Linked DNA regions of Oryza sativa Japonica Group. The protein of the gene in region 1 interacts with the protein of each later gene in a pairwise test. Links are inferred from orthologs where the notes say so. Each region holds a gene or a part of one and is shown on either strand. Other genes may lie near its edges. The genes, in order: dNA replication licensing factor MCM5 and mini-chromosome maintenance complex-binding protein.

Region 1 (14,488 bases):
TTCATTCCACTGGCCTTTGAATTAGACGCCGACTGCAAATTGATATACACATCTTGCTGCGTAAGACGAGTTTACGTTTGCCTTTATGAGCCCAAGGTCACGTTTGCCATAGCCGCATGGGTTGTCTAGCCGAGCCCACGAGGAAATTTTATGGCCGCGACAAAATCTCTTGTATGCTAAGTGTATTGCCATCAATTATTGAAAGAAGTAAGTCATTGAGTGATTACTCATTAATTTCCCTTTAAAAGGCTATTACCTCCGTCCTAAAATAATTGTATTTCTAAGATTCAAAATTCGTCCCAAAATAATTATAATTCTAGAGTTCTAATTGTCCCATCGATCTCATTCAAATTTCTCCTTATTTTACCATCAACCATCTTCTCACTCTCATATAAACACTATTTAATGAGAGGTATCATATGCTTTCTTCTCAAATATTTATATATGCTAAATAACATAGAATTACAATTATTTTGGGATGGACGTAGTATTTTATTGTAGGATGCTAAGTGTATTGACACCAGTCGCTTAGGGTATCGGGCGAACGTACGTACCCACAAGCAAAAAAAATCGCACCTACACTCGTGTGTGTATCCGGCGGATCCATCGACAAAAAATGCCATCCCTATATATCCTGGTACGTCTCCTTGGTGCAAGGCCGTACGATAGGAACGAGTTTGGAAAACCGAAGACGTTGGTCTGACACGTAGACGACTCCGGAACGAATTTCTCCGTGTCGTCCCGTCGTCCGGCCGCAACAAAAAAAAAAGGTTTGAAAACCAAAAGACGTTGATCTGACACGGTAGACGACTCGGGACGAACTTGTCCGTGCCGTCCGGCCGCAACGAAAACCACCAAACGTGCTGCAATGCATGGCCATTGGCCAGCAATCAAGCCTATCCGGTGGGTGCGGACGGACGGCAGGCGCGGCGAACGGGAGGCCAGCCGCGCGTCGCGCCCGGGGAGACACGCATGCAAATCCAAAGCCGCTAGTGGAGCGCGCAACGTTGCCGAGTCCCCGCTGCTTATAAGAGGCGGCGAGGCGGTGCCACGGCCATCTCCGTCCTTCCATCCCAGCCGCGCGCGCGCGCTCGGACTGACCCCCACCCCCACCGAGGCAAAGCCTCGTACTCCTTCCCTCCACCACCACCGCGCGCCGTCCGCGCGGCTGCGGCTGCGGCTGAGGGCGAAGCCCTCCCCCTCCCCCCCCACCCCACCCCACCTCATCACTCACCACCAAACTAATAAACCCGTCCTCCCCTCCCCCCCATGGCCTCCATCTCCCTCGAGGACGTCCGCAATGAGACCGTCGACCTCGTACGTAATATATACAGTCGTGCAATTCTTTTGTGCGTTCGTTCTTAGTTTTTTTTCTTGTTTTGTTTGTTTGTTTGCAGGAGACGATCCCGGTGGAGGAGGTGTTCCAGCACCTGAAATGCAGCAAGCAGGGGCTGTCGGCAGCGGAGGGACAGAACAGGCTCAACATCTTCGGGCCAAACAAGCTGGAGGAGAAGACGGAGAGCAAGCTGCTCAAGTTCTTGGGTTTCATGTGGAATCCCCTCTCCTGGGTCATGGAGGCCGCCGCCATCATGGCCATCGTCCTCGCCAACGGCGGCGGGAGGCCGCCCGACTGGCAGGACTTCGTCGGCATCGTCGTCCTCCTCGTCATCAACTCCACCATCAGTTTCATCGAGGAGAACAATGCCGGGAACGCCGCCGCGGCGCTCATGGCCGGCCTCGCGCCCAAGACCAAGGTGCTCAGGGACGGGAAATGGCAGGAGCAGGACGCGTCCATCCTCGTTCCCGGCGACATCATCAGCATCAAGCTCGGCGACATCATCCCCGCCGACGCGCGGCTGCTCGAGGGCGACCCGCTCAAGGTCGACCAGGCGGCGCTCACCGGCGAGTCGATGCCCGTCAACAAGCACGCCGGGCAGGGCGTCTTCTCCGGGTCCACCGTCAAGCAGGGCGAGATCGAGGCCGTCGTCATCGCCACCGGCGTGCACACCTTCTTCGGCAAGGCGGCGCACCTGGTGGACAGCACCAACAACATCGGCCACTTCCAGCTCGTGCTCACGGCCATCGGCAACTTCTGCATCATCTCCATCGGCGTCGGCATGATAATCGAGATCATCGTTATGTACCCGATCCAGCACCGCGCGTACCGCGACGGCATCGACAACCTGCTCGTCCTGCTCATCGGCGGCATCCCCATCGCCATGCCCACCGTGCTGTCCGTCACCATGGCCATCGGCTCCCACCGGCTGTCGCAGCAGGGCGCCATCACCAAGCGGATGACCGCCATCGAGGAGATGGCCGGCATGGACGTGCTCTGCAGCGACAAGACCGGGACGCTGACGCTCAACAAGCTCACCGTCGACAAGACGCTGATCGAGGTGTACGGGCGGGGGCTGGACAAGGACTCGGTGCTCCTGTACGCGGCGAGGGCGTCCCGCGTCGAGAACCAGGACGCCATTGACACATGCATCGTGGGCATGCTCGCCGACCCCAAGGAGGCCCGCGCCGGCATCAAGGAGGTCCACTTCCTCCCGTTCAACCCCGTCGAGAAGCGCACGGCCATCACCTACATCGACGGCAATGGCGAATGGCACAGGATCAGCAAGGGCGCGCCGGAGCAGATCATCGAGCTGTGCAAGATGAGCAAGGACGCCGAGAAGAAGGTGCACACGCTGATCGACCAGTACGCGGACCGCGGCCTCCGGTCGCTGGGCGTGTCGTACCAGAAGGTGCCGGAGAAGAGCAAGGAGAGCGAGGGCGAGCCATGGCAGTTCGTCGGCCTCCTGCCGCTGTTCGACCCGCCGAGGCACGACAGCGCGGAGACCATCCGCCGCGCGCTGCACCTCGGCGTGAACGTGAAGATGATCACCGGCGACCAGCTCGCCATCGGGAAGGAGACGGCGCGGCGGCTCGGGATGGGCACCAACATGTACCCGTCGACGACGCTGCTGGGCGACAAGAGCAGCGAGATGAGCGGCCTCCCCATCGACGAGCTGATCGAGAAGGCCGACGGCTTCGCCGGCGTGTTCCCGGAGCACAAGTACGAGATCGTGAAGCGCCTCCAGGACCGGAAGCACATCTGCGGCATGACCGGCGACGGCGTGAACGACGCGCCGGCGCTGAAGAAGGCCGACATCGGCATCGCCGTCGACGACGCCACGGACGCCGCCCGGAGCGCGTCGGACATCGTGCTCACGGAGCCGGGGCTCAGCGTCATCGTCAGCGCCGTGCTCACCTCCCGCGCCATCTTCCAGCGGATGAAGAACTACACCATCTACGCCGTCTCCATCACCATCCGCATCGTCCTCGGCTTCATGCTCGTCGCCCTCCTCTGGAAGTTCGACTTCGCCCCATTCATGGTGCTCATCATCGCCATCCTCAACGACGGCACCATCATGACAATCTCCAAGGACCGTGTCAAGCCGTCCCCGACCCCGGACTCGTGGAAGCTCAAGGAGATCTTCGCCACGGGCATCGTGCTCGGCACGTACATGGCGCTCATCACCGCCCTCTTCTTCTACCTCGCGCACGACACCGACTTCTTCACAGTATTACAAAACACATAGTACATTTTATACGTTCTCTTAGAGCAGAGCCTCTTTGATTCCTTTGTATCCTCCTATTATAAAATGACTGGAAAAAAAAACGCAGGAGACGTTCGGGGTGAGGTCGATCAAGACGAACGAGAAGGAGATGATGGCGGCGCTGTACCTGCAGGTGAGCATAATCACCTGGGAGAGTGGTGGGCTCTGCCCCCTTCCCGCTGTTTGGAGTCGTAGTATCCGAGTCTTTTTTTTTTCCCTTGGTTTTTTTGTTTCCCTCCTCTTTTGATATAAGTCGGTCTGGTTTAGTGCGTTGAGTAACATATATTCTTTTCTTCTGATATATTGACGTGCAATCTTTTTACGTGTTCGAGAAACAAAGGTGAGCATAATCAGCCAGGCGCTCATCTTCGTGACGAGGTCGCGGAGCTGGTCGTTCGTGGAGAGGCCAGGGGCGCTGCTGGTGATCGCGTTCCTGGCGGCGCAGCTGGTGGCGACGTGCATCGCGGTGTACGCGGAGTGGGAGTTCTGCAAGATGCAGGGGATCGGGTGGGGGTGGGGAGGGGCGATCTGGGCGTTCAGCGTGGTGACCTACTTCCCGCTGGACGTGCTCAAGTTCATCATCCGGTACGCGCTGAGCGGGCGGGCGTGGAACAACATCAACAACAAGACGGCGTTCGTGAACAAGAACGACTACGGGAAGGGGGAGCGGGAGGCGCAGTGGGCGACGGCGCAGAGGACGCTGCACGGGCTCAACCAGTCGTCCACCAGCTCCGACCTCTTCAACGACAAGACCGGCTACCGCGAGCTCTCCGAGATCGCCGAGCAGGCCGCAAAGCGAGCCGAGGTCGCCAGGTAAAAACTTGCTCTATCCCATGATATAATAATGGCAACATATCCTATGCACACAGGCCCTCACGTGTACACACGTGCACACCAACTAAAAAATGTCACCAAAAAATCTAGAAAAAATCATACACATACTTTCAATTGTATTACACCTAAGATTAAAATCTTAACGTCAAATTCATTATATTTTAGCCGTAACAAAAAAAACAAAGAATCTGACAGTTTTAAGGTTGCAATTTTGTTAGAATTTTATCTTTTTTGTTATTCTCTATGTAGAATAAATTTGAAGATGCGACTTTGCACGTAGATGTAATACTATTGAAAGTACATGTATGAATTTTTCTAAAATTTTTTGTGATAATTTTTAGTTGGTGTACACGGTGCGTACACGCGAGGGCCTGTGTGCATAGGATACGCTCCCTATAATAATACAGTACTCCCTATGACTCCCTTAACTTTTTTATCAACGTTTGATCATTTGTCTTATTTAAAATATTTATGTAATTATCATTTATTTTATTGTGACTTGATTTATCATCAAATAATCTTTAAGGCATGACATAAATATTTTTATATTTGCACAGAAAATTTGAATAAGACGAATGGACAAACGTTGTTTAAAAAATTAACAGCATTATACATTGAAATACGGAGGTAGTACATAGATAAGACATTATCTAGATTACTACTAGTAGAATGTCTTGTCCGGTACTACGCTTCTATATTACGGGACCGATGTAGTACATTCTCTGTACTGCAACCAACCAATGTTCAACTTTCTAGCTAGCACACTGCTTGATTTCTCATCTCCATGGACAGACTGAGGGAGTTGCACACGCTCAAGGGGCACGTAGAGTCGGTGGTGAAGCTCAAGGGGCTCGACATCGACACAATCCAACAGAGCTACACCGTGTAACATACAGCATGCCATCGATGTGTTGTTGTTGTTGTTCATACCTGTGTTTTACTCCTCCCCATCTGCAAGTTATTTGGAGATGGGGGTTTCGACTTGTGTTTTGACATAGATGTTTCTTCCCTTCTTTGTATTTTGTTAACAGGGAATAGTTCCCGATACAACAGGTGGTGCACTTTTGAGTATAGTCAAGTTATTTGTAAGATTTTGGCTTTAAGCCGGTTTTTTTGGCAATGTTATTGTTCCCATTGCAGATTTGCAGTCTATCAACTTTGCCTCAACTCAGTCTGTATACTACTGTTTAGTCAATCATCATCAGTTTTGACCCAGCAAAAACATGCCCTGATTACTCAGCTGAATTCTGCTCCTTTAAATTCTTGTCTGGGCACTGCAGAATATTAGCCATTTATATCCATGAATTAATACTGTAGTTTAATACATTAGCCATTTCAGAACCCTGGTTACATGGTTTCACTACAGTTACATCTTTAATACTGTAGTTTAACTACAGTTTCATCAAGGACGGAGTGCATTTCTTCTACTCTTGCAGATTACAATGGTCATGTCAGTGATCAACCGAAACTCAAACATGTCCTTGTCTTCTCCCAGAGATTACAGTTTCAGTGAACTCATAGCCTTATACAGTCTGAATAGAAGTTGTCCTCGATTTATAAATACTCCACAGTTCACCTCAAGCCTTCCGGACAATGACATGGCGCTCTCTCTTGTACTCCACTTCATCCCTTTGGTGCATGATCAGAAGGGCTCTTCGCACCTGAAGCAGCCGAATGGTAGCATAAGAAAAATGATACTAAATCAATTAATTAAATAGCAAATAGTATGACAGGTTCCTCACAATGGATTCATTCATCCCCATCCTATTTAGTTCATCGATCAGGCGTCGCTCGGATATGTGGCTTCCAATTCCCATCCTTCTCTTTATTTGTGCCTCAGCTTGCTGTTGGAACAAAATGGGCAACAAAATTCAGAAAACAAAGTTGACAAGTTGGCAGTTCACTTTTGGATGGGAAGATTAACCTTGATCTCATTTGCAATATCTGGTGATAGGTTCAAATGCTCATTGATTCCAGATCTTGCGGCATCAACAGTGGAGACATTGAACAGCCTAAATGCCTCTTCAACATGCTCTGGTGTAGCCACACTTGTCCTGATAATTATTCAAAGTGCCAATTAGGAACATTATAAAACATGTAAGTTATGACCCACTGGAAATAAAAGCCAATATGTGAAAAATGTAAGATATAAATATACTGCTAGTTGAGCTACTCGCAAAAAGAAATGTCAAATGTATAGTAATGCTATATTCTCACAATCTCATCTTTGCAAGAGATTCACTCAAACGTATAATGGCTTCAAGCTGCCGCACAGTGATGGGTATAGCTGCAGCCCTCCCTGTTTCATGAGCTTGTTGTCTCATTTTCTGCACAATGAAAAAAATAAATAAGTAGAACAGTCTTAATAACAGTTAGACTAAGTGAAAAATCTTTAGCACGTGCCTGTCTAATCTCCACATATTTGTTCTGAAGCATCTCTGCTGCCTTTTCTGAGAGTCGTGGTTTACAAGTAACACGGCAATACTCAATGTACCTACACATGTGAGGATTATGCATTTACAATCCAAGAACATCATATCAAAACTGTGTAGTATGTATATCAGAACATAGAAGGCCAACCACACCTTTTTAGCCAATTCTCTCCTTCACTAGCATCTGTATTCTTGGATGAAGCAGCAGCACCACTGGCATGCACCTTAATGATGTGGCTTGCAATTCGCTGCAATTGGAAGTTTATTTAGTCTCTGAAGCACATCAATGAGCTGGACAAAGAATAATGCGTCATACCTTGTCTTGATCATACATTCTGACATCTTTAACAATAAAGATTAGATCAAATCTAGAAAGGATGGTTGTCTGCAGATCAATGTTATCTTGTGCAGTCTGAGGAGTAGCAATAGAAAATGTGTCAAACTGATTGCCTTGCATATAAGGCTAGAACTGTTAATACATTTTCAAAATATGAAAATAGTACAAGTCAATAATAAAAACTTTGACTGACCTTAAGATCATCGTAGCGCCCTGCAATTGGATTGGCAGCTGCTAGTACCGAGGTCCTTGAATTGAGTACTGTTGTAATGCCAGCTTTGGCAATCGAGATGGTCTGCTGTTCCATTGCTTCGTGAATTGCAACTCTGGAATCACAGCATAAAGGTAACTCAATATGGTTTCAACTTTGAAGAGTAAGGAAAAATTACATGTGCAATGCTTATTTTAGTTTCTAGAAAGAAGACTATAGATCAATGCTTACCGGTCCTCAGGCCTCATTTTGTCAAACTCATCAATACAAACAACTCCACCATCAGCCAAAACCATGGCCCCTCCTTCCAAATAAAACTCTCGCTGTACAGGGAAAATAAGTCTTTTAGTTCTAGGAAACAGAACTTTGAGTAAACACAATAATCCTTGCAGGGAAGACAAGCTTACAGAGCTACCGTCCCGAATTACTGACGCTGTGAGACCAGCTGCTGATGAACCTTTCCCAGATGTATAGACAGCAATCGGCGCTGTCTTCTCCACAAACTTGAGGAACTGTTGGAATGTACAGTTTCATGTCACTGGACTAGAGATAATTCATTTCTAATAGCGAAAAAACACTTGCCTGTGATTTTGCTGTTGATGGATCACCCAGCAGCAAGACATGAATGTCCCCTCTCAAACGGACACCATCCGGTAGCCTCTGCCATAGAAGAAAGTTTAGTTACAGCTCATTCCAACTAGCCACTGGATCCAACACAACTTTGTATTTTCACATATTAGCCACTGATAAGATCAAAAATATACCTTCTTTGAGCCACCAAACAGCAAGCATGCAATAGCTTTCTTGACATCAGAATGGCCATAAATTGAAGGGCCAATCATTGAGCAAATCTTGACATATGCATCTGGCCTCTGTGCAAATTCTTTGAATTCCATTTCCTACAAACCAACAAGAAAATTAACATTGTAAATATGCTGTAACACTCTTAAAAAAGAAACTTGGAATTTTGGCAAAGCAATCTACCTCATCAAGTGTAAAATTTGAGGGACCATTCGAGTTGGCATCTCGGGACTGCTCCAACCCCACAACTCTAATGTAAGGCTGTTTGACTCCAACAGCACCCTTTTGGCTGCAAAATGAATATTTGAGCGTCATCAGCTATGCAAGTAGTCTAGCTCAACAAAATGGAAACAAACTGAGCAGATGTTTTAGATCCAACATACTTTGCAGATGCTTGGTAGACACTGTAGATACCAATTACAGTTAATCTAGTTCCAGGAACAATGGTCTGAACAAGATGCCTGTCTACGGACAGCAGCATATTCCTCGGGAGCTCACCAGTTGGAACATCCTGTTAACCAAGTAATATACAGCTTGGTGATTGCTAAATCCTAAGGACATATAACCAATAAACCTAGAAAACCATAGCATCGCAGCGAGGACATATAATGCAGTAACAAACCTCAGGATTTTCCTGCAATTTGAGGGTCTGGAGATCCACATACTTGCTCTTATCTGGAACTGCAATCCAGGGGTCCAAGGGGCAAGGCTCTTCTCCAGGCTGAAAAATGGTAAAGAAAACTCACTCATATACATCAGAATTAAAACACAAACAAGACAATAACCCAATTATGTTTAGCCGGAGTTAGACCTGAGGAACATGGTCGCACGATCGTGGGACAATAGCCCCACCAAGGCCAGGCCTACACGGCACCGTTTTCACACTTCTGCAGTTCTTGCAGAGCAGCGTGACATGAGTGGCCTTAGCTTTCACCCTCGACGCGGCGATTGTGATCCCGGCAATCTTCACCAGCTTGGACATGTAATCCGCCTGGAATTTGGAATACAGTTGTGTCAATTTGAAATTCTTCACAAGGCTACTAACAAAATCGTTTCAGAACTGACCCCAATAGACCTCATGGACAGGCAGTTCTCCTTTGAGGACAAGAAGATCTGCACGTCGCCGGTGGCGGGCTCCTCCATCTCGCCGGTCTCTCCAGCGACCTTGGACCGAAGGCTCGCGAGGACCTCGGACGCAGCCGTCTCAAACTACACAAAACCCTAAATCTTAACACAAAAAATTGACATCAACAGAACCCAGAGCCAACAAAAATTCAGAAAGAACCAGCACACACCAGCGGTAGGTAATCAGCGGGAGACTTCCGGATCTTGTCGGACAGCTCGGCGTCGAAGGCGTCGAGGTCCTCGATGGCGACGGTGACATGGTCGCGGTTGTGCACCAGGCTCTCGCTGCAACCATCAAACAAAAACACACTGGATTGGTCAGAGCGAATTCGACCATCCGACGAGGCACCAGATCTGGGAGGGAGGGGGGGCGCACCGGTAGGGGAAGTCGCCGGTTGGGCCGGTGAAGCCGCGGAGGAACTCCTTGAACTTGCGGAGGGCGGAGTGGCGGGTGAGGTCGGCGGAGGGGTCGCCGCCGGGGCCGCCGCGCGGGAACTGCGCCTGGTCGCTGTAGAAGACGGCGCCCTCGTCCCAACCCGACATGGCTGGATGGCTGGCTGGCTGCGGCGGCGGCGGCGGCGGAGAGAGAGGGAGAGAGACGCGTGGGTGCGCGGGCGGCGGGGAAAGGGGGGAAGACGCCGGAGAAGTGGCGGGAAGAGGGTAATAGAGGAGGAGATTTGGCGGGAAACTGGGGGAGATTTGGCGGGAAACTGGGGAGGTAGGGTAGGGTAGGAGACCGGAGAGGCAGCTAGGCAGGCCGGTTTTTGTGGGCCTGGGCTCTCATAGCAGGGTGCTAAAGGAGTAGAATGTGCCATTTTGGCCCAAAAGCATGGCGATTTGCCGATTTTTAGAGTAAAAAGTATAGTTGGGGTCTCTCATTTTTTTGTCGCGGAGTTATAAAACCGTCGTTGAACCGTAAAACCACACACAGTATATCATATAACTTATAAAACCAGCGAAAATAAGATCCCTTGACGGTATTGTCCGTAGTTTTGATTGATGTGATGCCTACGTTGCTCCTTTAACTAGGTTTTTGTCTCACGTGATATTGACGTGACGCTTATATGATAATTTGATCCCGAAAAAAAAATAAAAAGATATGACTTGAAAAAAAATAAAACATAATATGCGGAGCCATATATCAGTCAAACAAAAAAGATAAAAAATAGTGGGACCCACTAACCCACTTCCTCCACCTCTATCTCCTCTCTTCGCCGACGAGCCAAAGCTATCCGGAGTTAGTGCGGAGGCCTGCCAAGGGGACGGAGAGCCCAGTGAGTGTGCACGGAGAGAGAGGAAGCAAAGAGGCCGGTGAGGGGGCAAAATTCAAATCCATCGTCGCCCAACACTACATCCACCACACGGATATGGAGGCGGCGAGGAGGCTCCTCCAATGAAGAGTGGCAAGTCCAAATTCGCCGTTGCCAACATCACCTCAACTGCATGGAGAGGGAGAAGGCAGGGAGGCCAACGAGCTCCTCCAAGTCTAAATATGCCGTCGACGACACCACCTCCACCACAGTCGTCGCTGCCACCAAGCACAGGAGAGAAGCAAGATGGCAACTCTGATGTTGAGGGCAATCTCGAAGCTGTCTCACCGCTTGCTCAGACGACGCATGCCACCGGCTTCGGTGCCAAGATCAACGACAACGACGGCCACCCCGCTGCATCTAGAGAAGGAGAGGGGAGAAGGGGAAGAAGGCCACCGGTCGCATCTGCGAGGGAGGCTGCCATCCTCAAAACCAAATGGTTTTCGTGAAAACATTAGATCTTGGTTTGTAAAAAAAAAGAGTCGGTTGATATTAGCCAATTTTTATATAACGTGCGTAAGGGCTGGTTTAGATGGCAAAATTTTTTATTTTGGGGTGTCACATCGAATATACGAACACACATTCGAAGTACTAAAACGTTGTCTAATAACAAACCAAATTATAGATTCCGCATGGAAACTGCGAGATAAATTTATTAAGTCTAACTAATCCATCATTAGTGAATGTTTACTATAGCACCATATTATTAAATCATGGTACAATTATTAGGTTTAAAAAATTATCTTGTAATTTACACATGTAATTGATTTTTTATTAAACCACGTGATGGGTGTAAAGTTTTTTTTGTTCTGGTAAAAAAACCAACAAGCCCCCACATCCCACCGATTCTGAATTTTCCCAGGAATCTGAGCGGCCGCAAGGCGTCACGCGAAACCCGTCCAACCCAACTCCACTCCATCCTCTGCAGCCGCAGTTGTGACGGAGACTCCAAGGCCATCACCATCCACCCGCTCTCCTCCTCCTCCTCCTCCGCTTGATCCCTCCATCTCCTCGATCGATCTCCACACTCCACTGCGCACTGCACCAGCAACGCCCCCCCCTGATCCCTCTCCACGGCTGCACCGGAGATGGCTTCCGCCCCCTTCGCCGTCTCCTCCTCACCGGCGGCTTCCGCCGTGGCCGCGCGCTCCAAGGCACGGGACACTCGTCTTACTCATCTTCTGTGTTTGGTTTCCTTGATTTGGATTTGGATTTTTTTTTTAATTAACTCATGCCGCGGTTCGTTGGTGCTCGCAGGTGTTGCGAGGAGGGAGGAGCGAGGCGAGGACTGGATGCCGCCTGGGGATCACGAGGAAGGTGGTCGCCTGTTTGGATTATGATTTCTGCCTCTAGCTTGTTTAGTTGATGGTTTGTTTTGGATGGACATGGGTTCTATCGTCTATCTTATCTGTGATTTAATAGTGATACTGATTGCTTCCTCCCTCGATTAGAAATTATGGTTTGTTTGGTTTCACTATGAATGACTACCTGTCAGTTGGCACTGTGATCTCTTTTACGACAATAATAGTAATTCACGATTCAGGAGTTTATCTGCTTTTTGGGTATGATATCTCTGCTAATTTAATGCTCCTGGAGCTCTTCTAATCAGGGATGGGTGGCTCTTAATTAAGGTTTTGAATCCATACTGTCATATGTTGACACCTAAAAGCTCTTTGATGTAGAAAATAAAATCGAAATGATATATAGAAATCGGTTGAGACTTGAGAACACGCAGCTGCTGAAGCATGACTAATTATCAAGCTGCTAATAAAATTTGGCGATGGCCTTCATTGGAAAGGCATGGTGTTTTGATCCTGTAACGGAATTCTGATATTTTATGTTTGTTAGGAACTCTCAACTCTTGAGAAATATAAAATTGACTGTATCGAGATTTATTCCATGTCAAGCTTCAGCATATGGTTGTGCTTTGGATTAACATCCTTTCATTGCTATTCTGTTGCAGAATTTTGGACGTGTCATGATGGCCCTTGCAGTAGATGTCTCTCGTTTTGAAGGAGTGCCGATGGCCCCTCCAGACCCAATTCTCGGGGTTTCAGAAGCATTTAAGGCAGATCAAAATGATCTGAAGCTCAACCTTGGTGTTGGTGCCTATAGAACAGAAGAGTTACAGCCTTATGTCCTCAATGTGGTCAAGAAGGTAAGTCTAATAATACCTATCATTTCCTTAATATAACTCAGTTCTTGTTGTGACACACTATTCTTACACGTGGTAGGCTGAAACTCTTATGTTGGAGAAAGGAGAAAACAAGGAGGTATGGTGTATTTTCCTTCAAATTCAAGTAGCTGGATTATAAGGAATTATTTCTGGAGTTTTCTGTATTTCTGTTTCTGAAGGTTGATGACAAAATTATGTTTTTTTTGGTGCAGTATCTGCCAATTGAAGGCTTAGCTGCATTTAACAAAGCAACTGCAGAACTATTGTTTGGAGCTGATAATCCAGTACTCAAGCAAGGACGTGTATGTGCTGTGGCCTATGCAGCTCTTGCTGTACTTATTTTGTAAATACTAAGATTTTCTGGAATGCTGCTACAGCGAAGCATGTCCTTATATTTAGTAAACATTATTTAATGATAATTCCTTCTGTAGGTTGCTACTCTTCAGTCTCTCTCAGGAACCGGGTCGCTGCGCCTTGCTGCAGCATTTATACAAAGATATTTCCCTGAAGCAAAAGTACTGATATCATCTCCCACTTGGGGTATGTATGTGAATTAATGTGCTTAATCTTTGAGCATTCAACTTCATTTTTCATAGCAGAGTGTCTCATTGGCAAACTTTGAACTCCAATCTATATTCTTACAGGCAATCACAAGAACATTTTCAATGATGCAAAGGTACCTTGGTCAGAGTACCGTTATTACGACCCCAAGACTGTTGGCTTGGATTTTGAGGGAATGATAGCTGACATACAGGTCGTGTTTTCTAACTCATTTATATTCAATACTACTATCTGTGTTTTCTATTTTAAACTTGATGAGCATTGTTTAGCATAACTTTGTCGTTCAAATTGGCATGTATCCATCATAGAAATTTACACCTGTCACTTGTCTGTTTACTATTGTTAATTGTCAATTTTCTGTTTACTATTGTTAATTTCTATGTGTTGAGTATTGGTTTGTGATATTGATTTGTGTGTCCAATAGGCTGCCCCAGATGGATCTTTTGTTCTGCTGCATGGTTGCGCTCACAACCCAACTGGAATAGACCCAACTCCGGAACAATGGGAGAAAATTGCAGATGTCATTCAAGAGAAGAAACACATGCCTTTCTTTGATGTTGCATATCAGGTGAAATGTTCTCACTTTATTATTTCGTTTTTCTCTGCATGAAAACAAATATCTTACTGACTAGCAAATATTTCTCTGCAGGGTTTTGCCAGTGGAAGCCTTGATGAAGATGCATCTTCTGTCAGGCTTTTTGTTCAACGGGGACTGGAAGTGTTTGTTGCGCAGTCTTATAGCAAAAACCTTGGTTTATATGCAGAAAGAATTGGAGCAATAAATGTTGTCTGCTCAACACCTGAAGTCGCAAACAGGTGATACTTTAATCTGAATGATTGCCTTCGTAGTCAAATTGTTCGTTTCTATCCAGTTATTGCAGCGAATGTTAATAATAGATTATTCTGTTTAGTGGGTAATATGGACCAACCTCTTATTGATGTGCAAAGCAACTTGATTTTTCATGGTAGGTTAACAAGACTTCTAAGCAAATTTCATCCAGGCAAAAAATGTTGTAAATTCTTGGAAATTAGTGTTATGTACAGATTAATAGACACTAGTTTTTACTCCAGAAAAGAAACCACCAGCAACAATAATTGG
Region 2 (16,037 bases), on another chromosome or scaffold:
GAAAAACACAGGAATGACCGTTTGATTGGACCACAGGAAAAACGCAGGAATCGGATAAGAGAGATAGACTCAAAGGAATTTTTCCAAGAGGTTGGACCTCTTGCTAACTTTCCTCCAAAATCTCTATAGGATTACCCATTCCATAGAAATTTTAAAGGATAGTATAGGATTCAGTCCTTTGTTTTAAAGGGTTTCATAGAAAATTTTTCCATAGGATTAAAATCCTTCAAATTTTCTACACTTTTTTTACAAATCAAAGGAGCCCTAAGTATCAGATCATTTTTAGCTTAACCATCTTCCAATCAATGCATGTAGACTACTGGTAGTACTTTTCCATCTGCCGCTTTGCAAGATTTAAGAAACACCAAGACATATACTCCCTCTATACTAATAAAAGAAGTCGTTTAGAACAATGTTTAAATCAAACCTTGAGAATATAAATCATGAATAACTCTCAAGTTATTGAGTTTGAAAATATAAAAATTATATGAATAGATTTGTCTTGAAAATACTTTCATAAAAATATACATATATTACTTTTTAATAAATATTTTTATAGAAATAAAAAGTTAAAGTTCTGTTTTGGAGACCGTGTCGCTGTCCAAAACGACTTCCTTTACGAGTATGGAGGGAGTATAAACCGTCGAAGTTTTTTTCTAAGAACTTAATATATTAGAAGCACAAAACGTGAACGGATACATCTTCCTCTGCCCAGGGGGCAGCAAGCAGAAGTTGTTTCATATGTAGCCTCGGCATATATACTGACGAGGAATCCAATAATATTTTATAAAAGTATAAGTAATTCAAAACCAAATAAATAATTACCAAGTCGCTATGCGTATACAGTAACTTCTGGCTAAATCATTTTCGCCACAAAGTCATGCTTCGGTGCTCTTTACTTATAGTAAAAATCAATCTAAACCGTTGATTTTTTTTTATCCAAGAGACTAGATGTATTTATACTGCCATCTTATTAACAGGAGTAGAAACGTGAGAGGGCAAAATGTCCATTGAAAAGTAGAAGTTGAGGGATAAATTTGTAAATATGCATATCAGTCGAGACGGCGCTACAGAAGCGAGGGGGCGGAGGCGGCTACCGCAGCCGTCGCAGGCGGCGGCGGCTGATCTGCTCCTGGACATCCTTCGCCAACACCTGCCGCCTCCCACCTCGTGCCTCCTCCATTTGCTAATCTGCGTCTTTGTTGTCCTCTTATACGTTTACACATCGCTCGTCCTTATTTTCGTCGTTCGGTGGCTCGTCGGAGCTCGGGGAGACATGCTCCTCAGCCGGTGCATCCCGTCTGCCGGTATTGGAAGGCAATGGTGGCGCGGTCCCTATTGCGGTTGCCGGCGGCTGATCCATGATTGAGGGCGAGGAGCCTGCCCGAGGAGGCTGAGGTCCGGGGCGATGGTGACAACTGACAACAGATCAGTGACTGAAGGTACAGGGTTAAACTTTTGGGTTTAGCCGATTTGATCGGACATCACTAAAATACCAAAATTTCGGTCTGAAATTTTCAAAATTTTGAACAAAATTTATTTAAATTTGAATAAATATTATCAAAATTTATGAATTTTTTTAAAAAAAAAATTGACCAAAATAATATCTTATCGAAGGGATCCAAAATGTCCGAAATTTCCAACCCTGTGAAGGCGTGGAGATGGCGCAACCATGGCTGTTGTGGTTGCAGCGGTTCTGGCTGTGAGAGGCACTGAAGCAGCATATTATTATACTCCCTCCGTCCTATAATATAGCAACCTAGGACCGGATGGGATATTTCATAGATGTCCGGATTCGTTGTACTGTGTCCCATCCGGTTCTATGTTACTATATTATGGGACGGAGGGAGTACAAGATAACCTCCTGTCCATCCATTTCCTCCCCCATGCAGATCAAGTTTTTTTTTTTTTGAATGGATGCAGATCAAGTATTGATATTTGATTGCTCTATTCTGTGTCGATTGTTGTAGGTGTATGCGAAACCTGAATTTTGTACGTAGCTGTGTATTGCATGACTGATGAGATGAATAAAAATAATTTACTCCCTCCGTCTCTAAATATTTGATGCTGTTGACTTTTTTAAATATGTTTGACCATTCATCTTATTCAAAAACTAAACTATATGTATACATAAAAGTATATTTAACAATAAATCAAATGATAGGAAAAGAATCAATAAAACGAATGATCAAACATATTTAGAAAAATCAATAGCGTCAAATATTTAGAGACGGATGGAGTAGCATATAGAGGTGCAATCGCCTTTGACTACTTGGCGCTACCGCAAGAGCTGGGCGCGTGGAGCTACAACGCGAAGAAACGATAGAAGCAGCACCATCAACGATAAATTCAACGATTACTTAAAAAATATAAAAAATAAAATTACAGCCCTATATAACTAAAATTACATATGTAAATTAAGTTGATATGATATGTAAGTGGATTGTAATTTTGATAAAAAAGATGTGTAAGTAAATATGTATTTGTTATTTTTTAAATATAAAATTACAGTCCTATATAACTAAAATTACATTTGCAAATTCAGTCGATATGACATATAAGTGTACTGTAATTTTGATAAAAATGTTGTGTAAATAAATATGTATTTGTTTTTTTGTCCGTTGGATGTAAATCTAAAGTTGGAAAAAATTTGGATGATTTTTTTTTCTAGAAATCACCCAATAAATGGATAGTCAGATCCATAAATAAACATCAAAATTATCCCTAATCATATAAGTAGCAAAGTACTGATATAGCCTTATAAATCAACGGCTTAGACTATTCTACTAATAGTAGAGAACACCGAAGCAACGACTGGCTGGCCGAGTTGATCTTCTGTTAATCCAGCTAGCAACGTACGAATCCGAGTTGGCGAGTTATCGTGTATAAGAATGTGCGAGGGTATGCGGTAGAATCCTCCGTCCATACACCGATCGATACACCCTCTTACGTATAGCAGACTAGCAGTAAACCCAATCAAACTGCTGTACTTGCTAGTTGCTACTCCACAATGACCCGTTACAAGCCATTGGTGTTGCCGTTGATGCTGATCCTCTTACACACCCAGCTCATTATTGTCCCTTCTTCATCAGCAGCTACGTACGCCAACCACACCGGAGCCCTGCCGCCGGCGGTTGTTCCATGCTTGCCGGACCAGGCATCGGCGCTGCTCCGGTTGAAACGTTCTTTCTCCATCACCAAAAACTCCAGTTCCACCTTTGGGTCATGGAAGGCCGGCACAGACTGTTGCCATTGGGAGGGCATCCACTGCAGGAATGGGGATGGGCGTGTGACGTCTCTGGACCTGGGAGGGCGTAGATTGGAGAGCGGCGGTCTTGATCCTGCGATCTTCCATCTAACCTCCCTCAACCTCGCTTGCAACAGCTTCAATGGATCCTAACTCCCGCAGACAGGGTTTGAGCGGCTCACCATGCTCACCTATCTCAACCTCTCCAGCTCCGATTTCGTGGGCCAGGTACCTACCGCTAGCATCAGTCGCCTAACAAATCTAGTATCTCTCGACCTATCTACTCGATTTGAAGTAGAAGAATTCACACAAGGTCATTCTGTGTTGTCCTTTGATTCAGTTGAATCTAGCGTGCTCAAAGAGCCAAACTTTGAAACTTTAATCGCAAATCATAAAAAATTGAGGGAGCTCTACCTCGGCGCTGTGGACTTGTCCGACAACGGGATGACATGGTGCGATGCTCTATCCTCGTCCACTCCTAACCTTCGGGTTCTTAGCTTACCAAACTGTGGGCTCTCTGGTCCTATTTGTGGATCCTTTTCTGCCATGCACTCGCTTGCTGTTATTGACCTACGGTTTAATGATTTGTCTGGTCCCATTCCAAACTTCGCCACCTTCTCCTCTTTGCGTGTTCTACAACTGGGACACAATTTTCTTCAAGGACAGGTATCTCCATTAATCTTCCAACACAAGAAATTAGTAACAGTTGATCTTTACAATAATCTAGAACTATCTGATTCGTTACCAAATTTCTCAGTTGCTAGTAATTTGGAAAATATATTTGTCACTGAGACTAGTTTCTACGGTGAAATACCAAGTTCCATTGGAAATCTCAAATATTTGAAGAACCTTGGCGTCGGTGCAAGTCAGTTTTCAGGGGAGCTGCCCTCATCAATCGGGTGGCTTAAATCATTGAATTCGTTGGAGATTTCTGGAACAACAATAGTAGGAACCATACCATCATGGATCACAAACCTTACCTCTTTAACAATCCTTCAATTCTCTAGGTGTGGTCTAACTGGATCTATCCCTTCTTTTTTAGGTAAGTTAACGAAATTGAGAAAATTAGTGTTGTATGAATGCAACTTTTCAGGAAAACTACCACAAAATATCTCAAACTTCACCAATCTGAGCACACTCTTCCTTAATTCAAACAATCTTGTCGGTACAATGAAACTTGCATCATTATGGGGACTACAACACCTCCGTTACTTGGATATATCTGATAATAATCTTGTGGTGGTGGATGGAAAAGTCGATTCTTCATCAACACACATCCCTAAACTACAAATATTAGCTTTATCGGGTTGCAACATCACTAAATTCCCTGATTTCTTGAGGAGTCAAGATGAACTCCTTTGGCTCGACCTTTCAAAAAACCAAATCCATGGGGCTATACCATCGTGGGCATGGGAGTCTTGGAATGATTCTGGCGTTGCTAGTTTGATTTTAGCACATAATAAATTTACTAGTGTTGGATCTAACCCTTTTATTCCTTTACAAATTGATTGGCTTGATCTTAGCAACAACATGTTTGAGGGGACTATACCTATACCTCAAGGTTCTGCAAGATTGCTAGATTACTCAAACAACATGTTCTCATCGATTCCTTTTAATTTCACTGCCCATCTTAGTCATGTCACACTTTTCAATGCCCCTGGAAACAACTTCTCCGGAGAAATCCCACCATCTTTCTGTACTGCAACTGAATTACAATACCTTGATCTCTCTAACAACAACTTTAGTGGCTCAATACCATCTTGTTTGATCGAGAACGTTAATGGAATACAAATATTAAATCTAAATGCAAATCAACTCGATGGGGAGATCCCAGATACTATAAAGGAAGGCTGCTCATTTCATGCACTATATTTTAGTGGCAATAGGATTGAAGGACAGCTACCCAGATCCCTACTTGCTTGTCAAAATTTGGAGATCCTTGATGCTGGGAACAATCAAATAAATGACATTTTCCCATGCTGGATGAGTAAACTTCGTAGACTCCAAGTGCTTGTACTGAAATCCAATAAGCTATTTGGACATGTCGTTCAATCTCTCACCGATGAAGAAAGCACATGTGCATTTCCAAATGCAATAATTATTGACATATCCTCAAATAACTTCTCTGGTCCGTTGCCCAAAGACAAGTGGTTTAAGAAGTTGGAGTCGATGCTACATATAGACACAAATACATCATTGGTCATGGATCATGCTGTGCCAAGTGTAGGACTAGTATATAGATATAAAGCCTCACTCACATACAAAGGTCATGACACCACACTTGCTCAAATACTAAGAACCCTTGTATTCATTGATTTCTCCAATAATGCATTCAATGGTAGCATCCCAGAAATTGTTGGGGAACTTGTTTTAACTCATGGGATAAATATGTCACATAACTTCCTCACTGGGCCAATTCCATCTCAACTTGGTGGGCTGAAGCAGCTGGAAGCTTTGGATCTATCTTCAAATCAGCTTTCAGGAGTCATTCCACAAGAATTAGCATCCTTAGACTTCCTCGAAATGCTAAACCTATCCTACAACAAGCTTAAGGGAAAAATACCTGAATCACTTCATTTCTTGACATTCACCAACAGCTCATTTCTGGGGAATAATGATTTGTGTGGTCCTCCGCTATCTAAAGGTTGCATCAACATGACAATTCTGAATGTGATCCCTTCCAAGAAGAAATCCGTAGATATTGTGTTGTTCCTCTTTTCTGGATTGGGATTCGGCCTTGGGTTGGCCATTGCTGTTGTAGTATCATGGGGAATACCCATTAGAAAACAGGCTACAGTAAGACAGAGAGCCCTCTGTATCATGTATTGAAATAAACTTTTTTCTGTATCAAGGTCACTTGCAGTGCATTATTGTAATCAGGGCCATGTCAGTGTTGTCGCAAGATAATATTTGAATCACTGTAAGTATGGGTGATAATGGTGTTATATTTATTTACTTTAGAGTTACACAAGCCAGTAGGATGCACACATCATATACTGATATACAGAGTTTACATTACATACTAGTGATGTTCTGAATCAACGAGTTGGCATGTGTGATTTATAGGTAACACTTGCTTACTAGTGAAAACAATAGAATTTTGCTTTGGCAGTGAGGTTCGGAGCACACCTGAGATGTTGTTGAGTTATTCCATCGATTGCTTCTGTTATTTCTTCAGTAAGAAAATCTGAGCCTACAAAAATTCACCCATAACAGTATTGTTAGGTATGTTCAGTAGGAAAACTAGCAGCAATTAACACCTACTAGTCGCCAACTCAGTAGGATGACTTGAGAAAAAAAAGGCATCTGGAGGCATGTATTAGCAATTTCTTTATGCGAAATGTATTAGCAATTTGAGATGAACAATCTTAGCATCCGAAGTAAATAGAAAGCAAGTTGCTCCTCCATAGCCTACTTTACCCCAGAGACACGCAACGGAGAGGATTCGGAGGGGTTCAGACTCTGGAGGGCGTAGATCCGGCAACGCTGCGTTATGGGAGGAGGAGAGGTTGGTTTATGGAGTGTACAGACCTCGGAGGTGGGCGACGCCATGGGAGGGAGAGAAGGTCCATGACGAGGAAGACGACCTTGCCGTTGACAGGTCAGAGATCTCACCTGCTCCTGTTGAGAAGAGCAATGGCGCGGGTTCCTGGCCTTCTATCACATACACAACGCCAACCGGGAGAGCGACTCCGGCCGCCGCTCGCCGGAGCGCCGCGCCGCCGCCGCTCTTGGACGGCTCAACCATCGGCCCGCGCTCTCTAGCAATATTATGAAATTAATTGAAGGGCCTATGTGTAAAATATACTTCACTCAGTCACGTTCCACAACTTGATCTGAACCACACGATTAGATCTAACGGTCAACGCGTGCGCGAGATTTGGAGGAAAAAGTCCACTTTGACTCCCTTAAATGTACAACGAATCTGATTCGTACCCCTCAACCAAAAAACCGGTTAGAACGACTCCCCCAATTACTAAAACCGGTACAAATTGACTCTCTCGGTTGTTTTGGAGGGCGGTTTTGCTGACATGGCGCTGACGTGGCAGTGTTGACTTGGTCTTCGTCCCATGTGGCGCTGATGTAAGATTAGATTTAAAAATATATATATGTAGGACCCATTTATTATTCACACACAAAAATTATAATAGGATCCACTGACATGTGGGGTCCCGATATCATTCTCTTTCCAACCTTTCTTCCTCCCCCTCTATCTCCCTTATCTCTCTCTTTCTCTTCCTGTCGGCGAGCCTTTCCAACCTTTCTTCCTCCCCCTCTCTCTCCCTTATCTCTCTCTTTCTCTTCCCGTCGGCGAGCAGCGCGGAGAGCTTGCCGAGGCAACGGATGGCGGAGCGGAGGGCGGCAAGGGAGTGCGTGAAGCCGTGGGCGGCGGTGGGTGGAGAAGGCCGGCGCGAAGGCAGGGCAGAGCGGCGCTGCGGCGGCATCGAGAGCTGCCAGTCACCGCGGTCGCTGTTGTCGCGTATCCTGCAGCGAGGCGACGGCGGCGGTGGGAAGTTCGGATGCCGGGTGCGGCTGCCGCGGCGGTACAGCTCCACCTCCGCCGCCGGCGCTGGAGTTGCCGGAGAGAAGGAGATGATGTCGAACGCGTTCAGGCTCGACCGCCGCCGCGAGCTCCCGCCCCGCCCGAATCTCCCTTCCAGCAACGACGGCGTCGCCATCGTCCCGGTGCACTCCACCGCGGACATCGCCGTCGCCGACACCCTCTGGAAGGCCACTACCGCGGTCGGGGCTCCCCTCGCGTGAGTTGCTCAGGCTCGTCACCAGCGACGACGACGCTGACATGGACATGTGCTGCCGCTGCTGCGCCGCCATGGCAGCATGGCGCCATCCACTCACCGGAGTAGTAATTAGCTAGCTAGCTAGCTAGGCAACATGACGACGACACTAGCTTAATTAGCTTGTATTTAGTTGGTTAATTTAGTGTTGTTGGTTGCTTGGCGACGTCATTAGCTAAGCTAGTGATGTAGTAGTAGCAGCTAGTGGGAGTATTAGTTATCACACAAGGCGAGGAAACCGACGCCCAGAAGAGGGGGGGGGGCGCAGGGGCCGCGGCCATGCCGCCCAGATCCGTCGCCAATCCACCCGGCCGCTGCCGCCACTGATGCGTCCGAATGGGGAAGAGAAAAGGGGGAGAGAAAAGAGAGGAGGGAGGGAGGAGGAAGAAGAAGGGAAGGAGAAAGGATGTCGGTGGGCCCCACATGTCAGTGGGTCCCACATGTCGGTGGGTCCCACGATATATTTTATATGTGAATGATAGATGGGTCCCACAGATATTTTTTAATTCTAATGCCACGTAGGCGCCACGCGGAATGAAGACCGGATTAGTATCGCCACGTCAGCGCCACGTGGAATGAAGACCGGGTTGGTATCGCCACATCAGCGCCACGTCAGCAAAACCGTCCTACAAAACCACCGAGGGAGTCAATTTGTACCGGTTTTAGTAATTGGGGGAGTCGTTCTAACCGGTTTTCTGGTTGAGGGGTACAAATTAGATTCGTTTTACATTTAAGGGAGTCAAAGTGGACTTTTTCCAGATTTGGATCGCTAACCAATAAGCAGGCCTCATATGGGCCGGAGGCATCTCGGCCCGGCAGCAGCGCGCACCCGCAGACGGGCCGCACTCCCGTGCCGAATGCTAGGACGGCCCATTAGGCCCAATAGACGCACCAAGGTCCAAGTACCAGGAGAGGCGCGCATTGGCGGGAAGAGGGGGAGAAAACGGCGGGAAGCGCCGCCGCCAGTGGCGCGAAAACCCCACCCGCTATAACTCCTCTCCCTCCTCACCTCACCACTTCTCCCGCCATTGCTCCGCTCCCCAATCTCCCCAACGAGAGAGAGAGAGAGCGAGGAGAGGGAGAGGGAGGATGGTGGGGCCGCAGTACGACCTCGTCGGGAACCCCCTGGGGGCGGTGCGCTCCACCTTCGAGAGGGCGGCGGCGGAGTCCGGTGGGCACGAGCCGGTGGCGGCGTTCCGGGGGAAAGACTGGGGCGCCACCGAGGTGTTCCGCTCCTTTCTCTTCGAGCAAGGCGGGCTTGACAAGGTAAGAAGTCTGATCCCCCCCCGTGTTGATGGTTGCCGCAGCTGTCGATTTCTGAAAATGATGTTATTTGGTAGATCGCTGAAACCCTAATATCGTCAAAGTTAGTGATCTTTGAATGTCTATAATGAATATGAGACGGGGAGATTAAAGGTTTTCTTAGGGTAAATTTGGAATCATCAGTAGATGTGGTTAGGAAGTACTATGCTCTCAGATCTAAGTTGGGTGAAAGATAACTGCTTTTTGCTGTTCTTGCAAACATTTCAATTCAGATACTTAGAATGTCACATATGTTTATGTTGAGCTTGTCCCAAAAAAAAGAGAGAAAGAGGATATTTTGTATTGTGGGTGTAAATGAATCTTAGGAAGTTCAGGGAATGACGGAATGTGGGAATATTTTCCTTTCCAGGTTCCGGTGTTGGATGAATCAAATCTTGGATTGATCAAGCCGAATACCCTTGTTCGGTTCCGGGGGATGGTTCAGGACATGCTCGGGAACGAGTTCTATGTTGGTGCTTTCAAGGTATTGGAATTTAGTACATAAGTTAATGTAAAGCTGCATTTTAGTGCTTGTTATGCTTATTTTGAACCATTATTTGTGTAGGATGGCTCCACTTGGAGGACAAACAAATTCTCCGATTCCTCGCCGTTCTCAATGCCACACCCTTGTGATTCACATCTCTGGGAGCGCCATCTTTTCCACTGTGTGCCTGTATGTTGCCGCTTCCAAGAGCACCTGCTGCTCATTTGCTATTAATCCTAGTCTTACTCATTGCTGATAAGCAGCTTATGTTGGAATTCAACCTGGACAATGCCATTGGTTTATTTCAGGTGCCTGGACAAAATTCTTGGACACGCGAGTCGTCCCCTGGCCCTGACTTGCGCAGAATAGCAAGCTGCTTCACATCTGAACAAAGGGAGAAAAGGAAGAGGGGTGCAGATAATGACGCCATGGATGTAAGCTTTTGCTAAGTTTGTTGCAATGGTTTCTTTTGACACTTTGCTGCCTAACAAGTAGTATTGTCGTCTAATGAGTTGACTGATGCAGGTTTCAGAAAGTGGTAGTGGAGAGACTTCTTCATCCAGCAAGAAGACGGTAAGAAGGAAGATTGATTTTTCTTTCCTAGTAGTCTCCTAACATTTACACAGTCTCGCAACTGCCTTGCTTGGTTGTAGATTAATTCTGCATGCTAATAAAGTAGGATAACTTAAATGTCTTAGTAGATTTATGGCATATATGCTTCTCCAAATTGCTTGGTTTCATGCTAAATCTAATCCATACAGTTAGCTGACTGGGAATCTGATTTAAACTGCCTTACTTTTCCTCAGAAGGATGATGGTGTCAAGATCTCAAATAGTTCAGTAGAAATGTCAATGAATGAAGAACATCATGTCCCAGAGATGAATGGGGGAGATCATCATATTCCTGGAAGCTCCTTTTCCTGCCTAGTGAAGGTAGAGCTCCTAAGCTTTCTGCATGAAATGCATTCTATTCAATCTTTTTTTTCTATGGTTTACGGATTGAACTATTCTTTGCAGGTGTATGATATGCCTGAAAGTCAGGTGAAACTGAACGATGTTTCTGAGTTCATAGGTGTATATACATTTGACCCTGAACTTGCTGCTCCTAACGATAATTCGGATGATATAATGTTTGACCTTATGGAAGATGTAACCGCTCAGCTGCCTCCCAGTAAGGTACATGCATCAAAAGTACATACTACATAGTGATCAATTTCATATCTAACAATGAAAAGAAAGTGTATTCATATTTGTATTTTTTTCTGACTTCTAATGCTTGTAAATATTTGTACAGGTTCCCCGTCTTCACTGCTTGGTATGGAGAAACTTATCTGCTCATGATTTTCTACCAAGGCCTCCTGCGGTTGAGGTACATAGCACTGAATCTTGAATGCAGAAGTTGGTTTAACAGTTTTAGCGTTGATTTAAAATAACTAATCCCAATTTTTTTTATCATGCAGCCATCACCAATCCTGCTAAGGGGAATTCGGCAATCTTTGCTCTCACATCTTACTCTGGTATTAGGGAAAGATGAACTGGCAGCTCAATGTTTACTGTTGCATCTTCTATCCAGAGTACGTCATATCACTAACACAGCTGATCTATACTACATCAAGTTGTTTTCTTTGCATTGTAACTGCTAAAAACAGTTCATATTAGTTTACTAAGTTATTGGTTCTCAATCTCCATGCAGCTTCGTAATAAGGTGGATGTGGTTACCGTTGGTAGGCTCTCCTTGAATTTCACTGGCTTTAACAGAGAGAGTGTTTCTATATTTGGAAACCAGCTAAATAATTTGTTCCAGAGGCTACTACCATATTCACAAGTTATTCCTCTGTCAATTGAGTATCTCAACACAGCCACACTTCAGCCTAGAAAGGACAACCAATCAGGAAGGTACATATTGTTTGTTTGTCTTATGAAGAATTTGTTACTCCTGATGTTTTCATCATTCAACAATCACTTTTAACATAACCCCACCTAAATTTTGCTGCAGATTGGTTACAGGAGTTTTACAGTTACCTCAGGGTACTCACCTGACCTTTGATGAGACTCTCTTGCAGTCTGGATCATTGACATCCAAAGGTGTCGAGAATACTATGCTGCTTAAGAACTTGATGGAGTCACAGAAGGTAATAAGCCTCATGACTTCATGAGGCTACAAATTATCTTTGCCGACCAATTTATCTATAACATCTTTAAACATTTTTGCAGGTTGAGTATGATTTTGAGTTCTACAAGTTGGAAATGGCAACTGATGTGCAGCTACTAATTCTCTCCGAGGGAAAATCAAATATCCTACCTTCTGACTTGATAGTACCTTTCCGCCCATCATCTGTTCCTGCGGTAAATGCAAGCTCCGAGGAACTTGAAAGTTGGAGATGGTATTTGGCCACAGTTAGGTCTCTTCCTCAGTCAACTGAAACTGATACATACCAGGTGATTATCCCTTGCTCAACTCTATCAAGAAATAAACTGATATGTTTGTCAGGAACATGAACAGACTTAATTAAATTGCATAATGTTTGCGCCTTAATTGTAGATGATTCAAGATGAAATGGTCAATGCCATGCGTGATGATAGGAGCTTGGGTTGTTCTGAACTTAGCAGGTGTGTGCCGCTGATGCCTGTCAGTGTGGGCAATCTGGCATCCTACACCATCTCCAGTTACTTTTACATGAGGATTATGAAATGAAACCTTTTGCTAAACTAATTCTGCTTATGTGGATCTGCAGATGGCTAACGATGGCACAGATAATGGCTGCAAGCTTTGGTGAGAAGAGTCTCTCCATGGAGCACTGGCAGATGGTGAAGGAGCTGGAGAGGCTCAGGAAGGAGAGGCTACAATGAGATGAGATCACAGTAAAATGTGCTTGTAAAATCCACTTGTGGCCGTGGCCCAATGTTATGTGTATACCACTAGGGTCTAAAATCTAAATCAAGATGTGGATCTGCAACATCTTCTGTGATCCTATGGAAGTATCAATGCCATTTGATAAGTTATCTGACCTGAAAAGCATCTCTTGCAATACCTGTGAAAAAAAAAATTGAACTTGCACCTACAGGCTTGCCATCCGATTTGCCATTGGTTTCAGCAAATTCTACAGCCTGAAGTGCTGTTCTAGTATTGGATGGACACCCAAATATTTTTATCAACCAAGTGAACCTTCCATGCCATGTTTCAATTATCTTTGAGCCAAAATTTTAACATACAATTTTCCGTGTATCACTTGCAATATTTACTCTTTTTTTCATATATTTGACCTACCATTGGACCAGCCAGAGCAACAGAGAAACACTGAATAATAATAGTATGAATGTTTGTCAAATGATAATGATACAATGCGATAATTGCACATGTAACTTCCAAATTCAATGACATCAGACAGTTTGTAACTTTGTATGCTCGATCATCGATGAACGGTGGTACAGCTGCTCCATGCTTCAAACTTGAGAGCAGTGTAGGTTCAAAATATACAACACAAATCTCTACATACAACATTTTTTTTTGCCTCACTCAATACTGTTTCAGCAATAGAGTAAAGAATTCCCACAGGCATCTGATCTTCAATTCATTACCGGTTCAATCTCTTGGGAAATAAGTAGCAATTTCTTGATTTGCATTGTTTTCACGATGCGGCAGACAGAAGCATGGTTTCTGCAGATGCTTGTGTCCCCGTTTTGCATGCATGAATTGTAGAGCAGACGTCTGTCGTCTCAAGAAACTTCTGAGATTTCACCAGAATCAAAGGGGTATATTCAAGGACCATCTTCTTGCACTGCAAAAATTACAAATAGGACTGCCATGAGAAGAACAGAACTAGAAATGGGCCTTGCAAATGGTTAAAATGGCAGTATTTCATCAGGAAAACCATTCAGCTGATACAAAGTTGCAGGTAACTAAGCTAATTACAGATAAATTTCTAGGTGCTGGGCTTGATCAGCGACATCTTAATGTCTCAAATCGGTATATGCAAGCACATTCGAGAAAAGCATTATAGCATTTGAAATGCTTTGCTTACAGGATGTTAAGTGATTTTCTGTATAAACAACCATGAAAAATGTGTTTGATTCTTTAGTAGAGGCTGATTTATTTTGTATTTCCATAAATGTGACTAATTTACCTGCTGTACATAATTATCTGCCTTGCTGCATGCTTTGAGAAATATCTCGACTATCTCCAGCTGCAAAATTACGAATTCGATTAAGTATGACCCCAGCAATACAGAATTGGTTGTGACCATTGAAAATCTGAAATGATGGCAGTTACCTGCATGTCAGGATCCTTTAGCATGATAAGAACTTCAACAAGAACATGATGGCATATGCCGCATGTATCTCCTCGAGATGGTAGGCGAAGCATCGTTCCCTTTCTGCAGAGATGCACTGATTCACAGAACTTTTCAGGTGTTACCATCGAAACCTCCAAGAAGAAAAGGGGAATGTAGTAGTCAACCAGAGTGATGCACTGTAACAGGGTAAACCATTGGCATACAAAAATTAGTCTGACGAAATTAGCATGTTCTGATTCCAAGGCGGGCATTGAAATTTATTCAGACCTGCTGTTTTAGAGGTCCAACGTTTGCGCATGCATGGTGGAGGATGCTAAGAATCTCAGTTTGGGTTTCATTTTGTTGGAGGTAGAACAGTGCTTCCGTTGAGTACTGCTCGCATAGTTGACACAGCTTTCCATTGGCTGAAGTTAACCCTGTCTTCTTGTTTTCAAGGGGAAAGCTTTTATGAGCTGAAATACATGACAAATTGACCGTAGAGTCAAAAACTAATAAGTTGAATTGTAGAACGAAATCATTCTTATGCTGAAGATATAACCACTGTGTGATATCTGACCTACAATTTTATTACAGGTGAAGATAGAGTTTTCAAGTGAAAACAAAATTGTAGAACGGAATCATTCTTATGCTGAAGATATATTGACCACTGTGTGATATCTGAATTACAATTTTATTACAGGTGAAGATAAGAGTTTTCAAAATGAAAACAAAAATAGATAAAATAAATGTAACTCATGATGTCTGATATGCAGCAGATGTGTCAAGCAAGACTGGTCAGAAATGCAATTCTCATAACATTCGTCATCAGCAAACACACAGATACCAATTTTACTATTATGTGCTTGTGCAATCTTAGACCAACGCATATAACGTGATGTGGAATAATTAATGTAGATCAACACATAAATGTATTCCTTTATATTTTAGAACTGTAGAGAGTGTTATATTGCTTGCCATTGCGGCGCTTGATCTACTTAGAATTATCATCAGAAACACCAATTGATATGAAAATAAGAATGGAGAAAATATTAGTAACATTATTCATTCTCATAATGAATTCATGACTTACCCAATACATTAAATGAATCTCTGCTCTCCGCGACTGCAACTGAAAATGCTAATACCAGCACAAAAGCAAAGCTCCTTATGGAACACATTTTGCCTGCTTGCAGAATTGCAGATTAGAGAAACAGAAGCTGGAAAGTTAAAACTCCAAAGTATCCAACTGAAAGTTGAAGCTGTGTGCATCAGACGACCAGAATGCATCTCAGAGGTCAATCATGCAGAAGTTTTCCCCAAAATGGTTGACTAGACAGATTTACCCTCCGGTTGCTTAACTAAAATTTCTCCATATGGCCAAAAGAAAGCCTCAAATAGATCCCTTCCTCCTCTCTCACATTCCAAATCTAGTGTTAGATCTTACAGGAACGCTTCAGAATCCCAATACAGTGGATTTCAGCCCATCTCAAGACCAATTTTTGCACAAAAAAAATCAACAAACTCGGTAACGCTGGATTAGATTTCTAGATTAGATCTCACACTTCCACAAACAATGCATACACGAGTTGCGCACCAAATCAGCCAGATTCAGCTTCCCCACCGAAACAAACGCTAGAAAGATCCAAAATTTACTTCCTTTTCATCACTACAGACGCTCGAATTCGTAAAGCATAAAACTTTCTCTTCCGCTACTAACCTACCTTGGTTCGTGGGAGATGAAATCAACAGCTCATGATACTCAAATCGAACCCCCCATGGTTACGGAATCGAATCGGGCAGAGAAAATCAAGAAACAGCGAGTGGTTGCTAAGAATAAGCTAATATGGATCAAGGAATCAAGCATGGGCTCACCTTGTTGCTTCTTCGCTCTCTGTCTGCTTTGTTCTTGGAACGGGGTGGAGAAGTCAGGAGAGCAAG

What was found.
Region 2: the proteins of dNA replication licensing factor MCM5 (region 1) and mini-chromosome maintenance complex-binding protein interact in binary tests that used the Arabidopsis thaliana proteins (3 or more experiments, as listed by UniProt). The link is inferred for Oryza sativa Japonica Group from reciprocal best matches to the Arabidopsis thaliana genes MCM5 and ETG1.

The regions. Positions count from the first base shown.
Region 1 is NC_089036.1:34,426,637-34,441,124, forward strand, and holds dNA replication licensing factor MCM5, read right to left. Parts: upstream 10,012-14,488; 5' UTR 9,886-10,011; coding exon 9,719-9,885; intron 9,628-9,718; coding exon 9,513-9,627; intron 9,427-9,512; coding exon 9,283-9,426; intron 9,209-9,282; coding exon 9,029-9,208; intron 8,939-9,028; coding exon 8,840-8,938; intron 8,729-8,839; coding exon 8,601-8,728; intron 8,507-8,600; coding exon 8,401-8,506; intron 8,316-8,400; coding exon 8,181-8,315; intron 8,077-8,180; coding exon 7,999-8,076; intron 7,929-7,998; coding exon 7,824-7,928; intron 7,740-7,823; coding exon 7,648-7,739; intron 7,532-7,647; coding exon 7,399-7,531; intron 7,281-7,398; coding exon 7,185-7,280; intron 7,117-7,184; coding exon 7,022-7,116; intron 6,931-7,021; coding exon 6,840-6,930; intron 6,764-6,839; coding exon 6,654-6,763; intron 6,491-6,653; coding exon 6,361-6,490; intron 6,281-6,360; coding exon 6,179-6,280; intron 6,098-6,178; coding exon 6,014-6,097; 3' UTR 5,661-6,013; and 1 more. Other genes in the region: ATPase 8, plasma membrane-type, read left to right, coding at 1,270-1,317, 1,398-3,566, 3,670-3,735, 3,943-4,415, 5,229-5,325; aspartate aminotransferase, chloroplastic, read left to right, coding at 11,741-11,806, 11,910-11,969, 12,616-12,810, 12,887-12,925, 13,041-13,130, 13,260-13,368, 13,473-13,582, 13,814-13,957 and 1 more. UniProt on the Arabidopsis thaliana protein: Probable component of the MCM2-7 complex (MCM complex) that may function as a DNA helicase and which is essential to undergo a single round of replication initiation and elongation per cell cycle in eukaryotic cells.
Region 2 is NC_089035.1:3,431,371-3,447,407, reverse strand, and holds mini-chromosome maintenance complex-binding protein, read left to right. Parts: upstream 1-9,067; 5' UTR 9,068-9,132; coding exon 9,133-9,309; intron 9,310-9,715; coding exon 9,716-9,829; intron 9,830-9,910; coding exon 9,911-10,018; intron 10,019-10,137; coding exon 10,138-10,263; intron 10,264-10,354; coding exon 10,355-10,402; intron 10,403-10,635; coding exon 10,636-10,761; intron 10,762-10,845; coding exon 10,846-11,004; intron 11,005-11,122; coding exon 11,123-11,197; intron 11,198-11,288; coding exon 11,289-11,402; intron 11,403-11,521; coding exon 11,522-11,724; intron 11,725-11,824; coding exon 11,825-11,960; intron 11,961-12,042; coding exon 12,043-12,267; intron 12,268-12,370; coding exon 12,371-12,438; intron 12,439-12,563; coding exon 12,564-12,678; 3' UTR 12,679-12,844; downstream 12,845-16,037. Other genes in the region: uncharacterized protein, read right to left, coding at 13,458-13,607, 13,953-14,012, 14,099-14,296, 14,388-14,572, 15,190-15,277. UniProt on the Arabidopsis thaliana protein: Associated component of the MCM complex that acts as a regulator of DNA replication. Binds to the MCM complex during late S phase and may act by promoting the disassembly of the MCM complex from chromatin. Required for sister chromatid cohesion.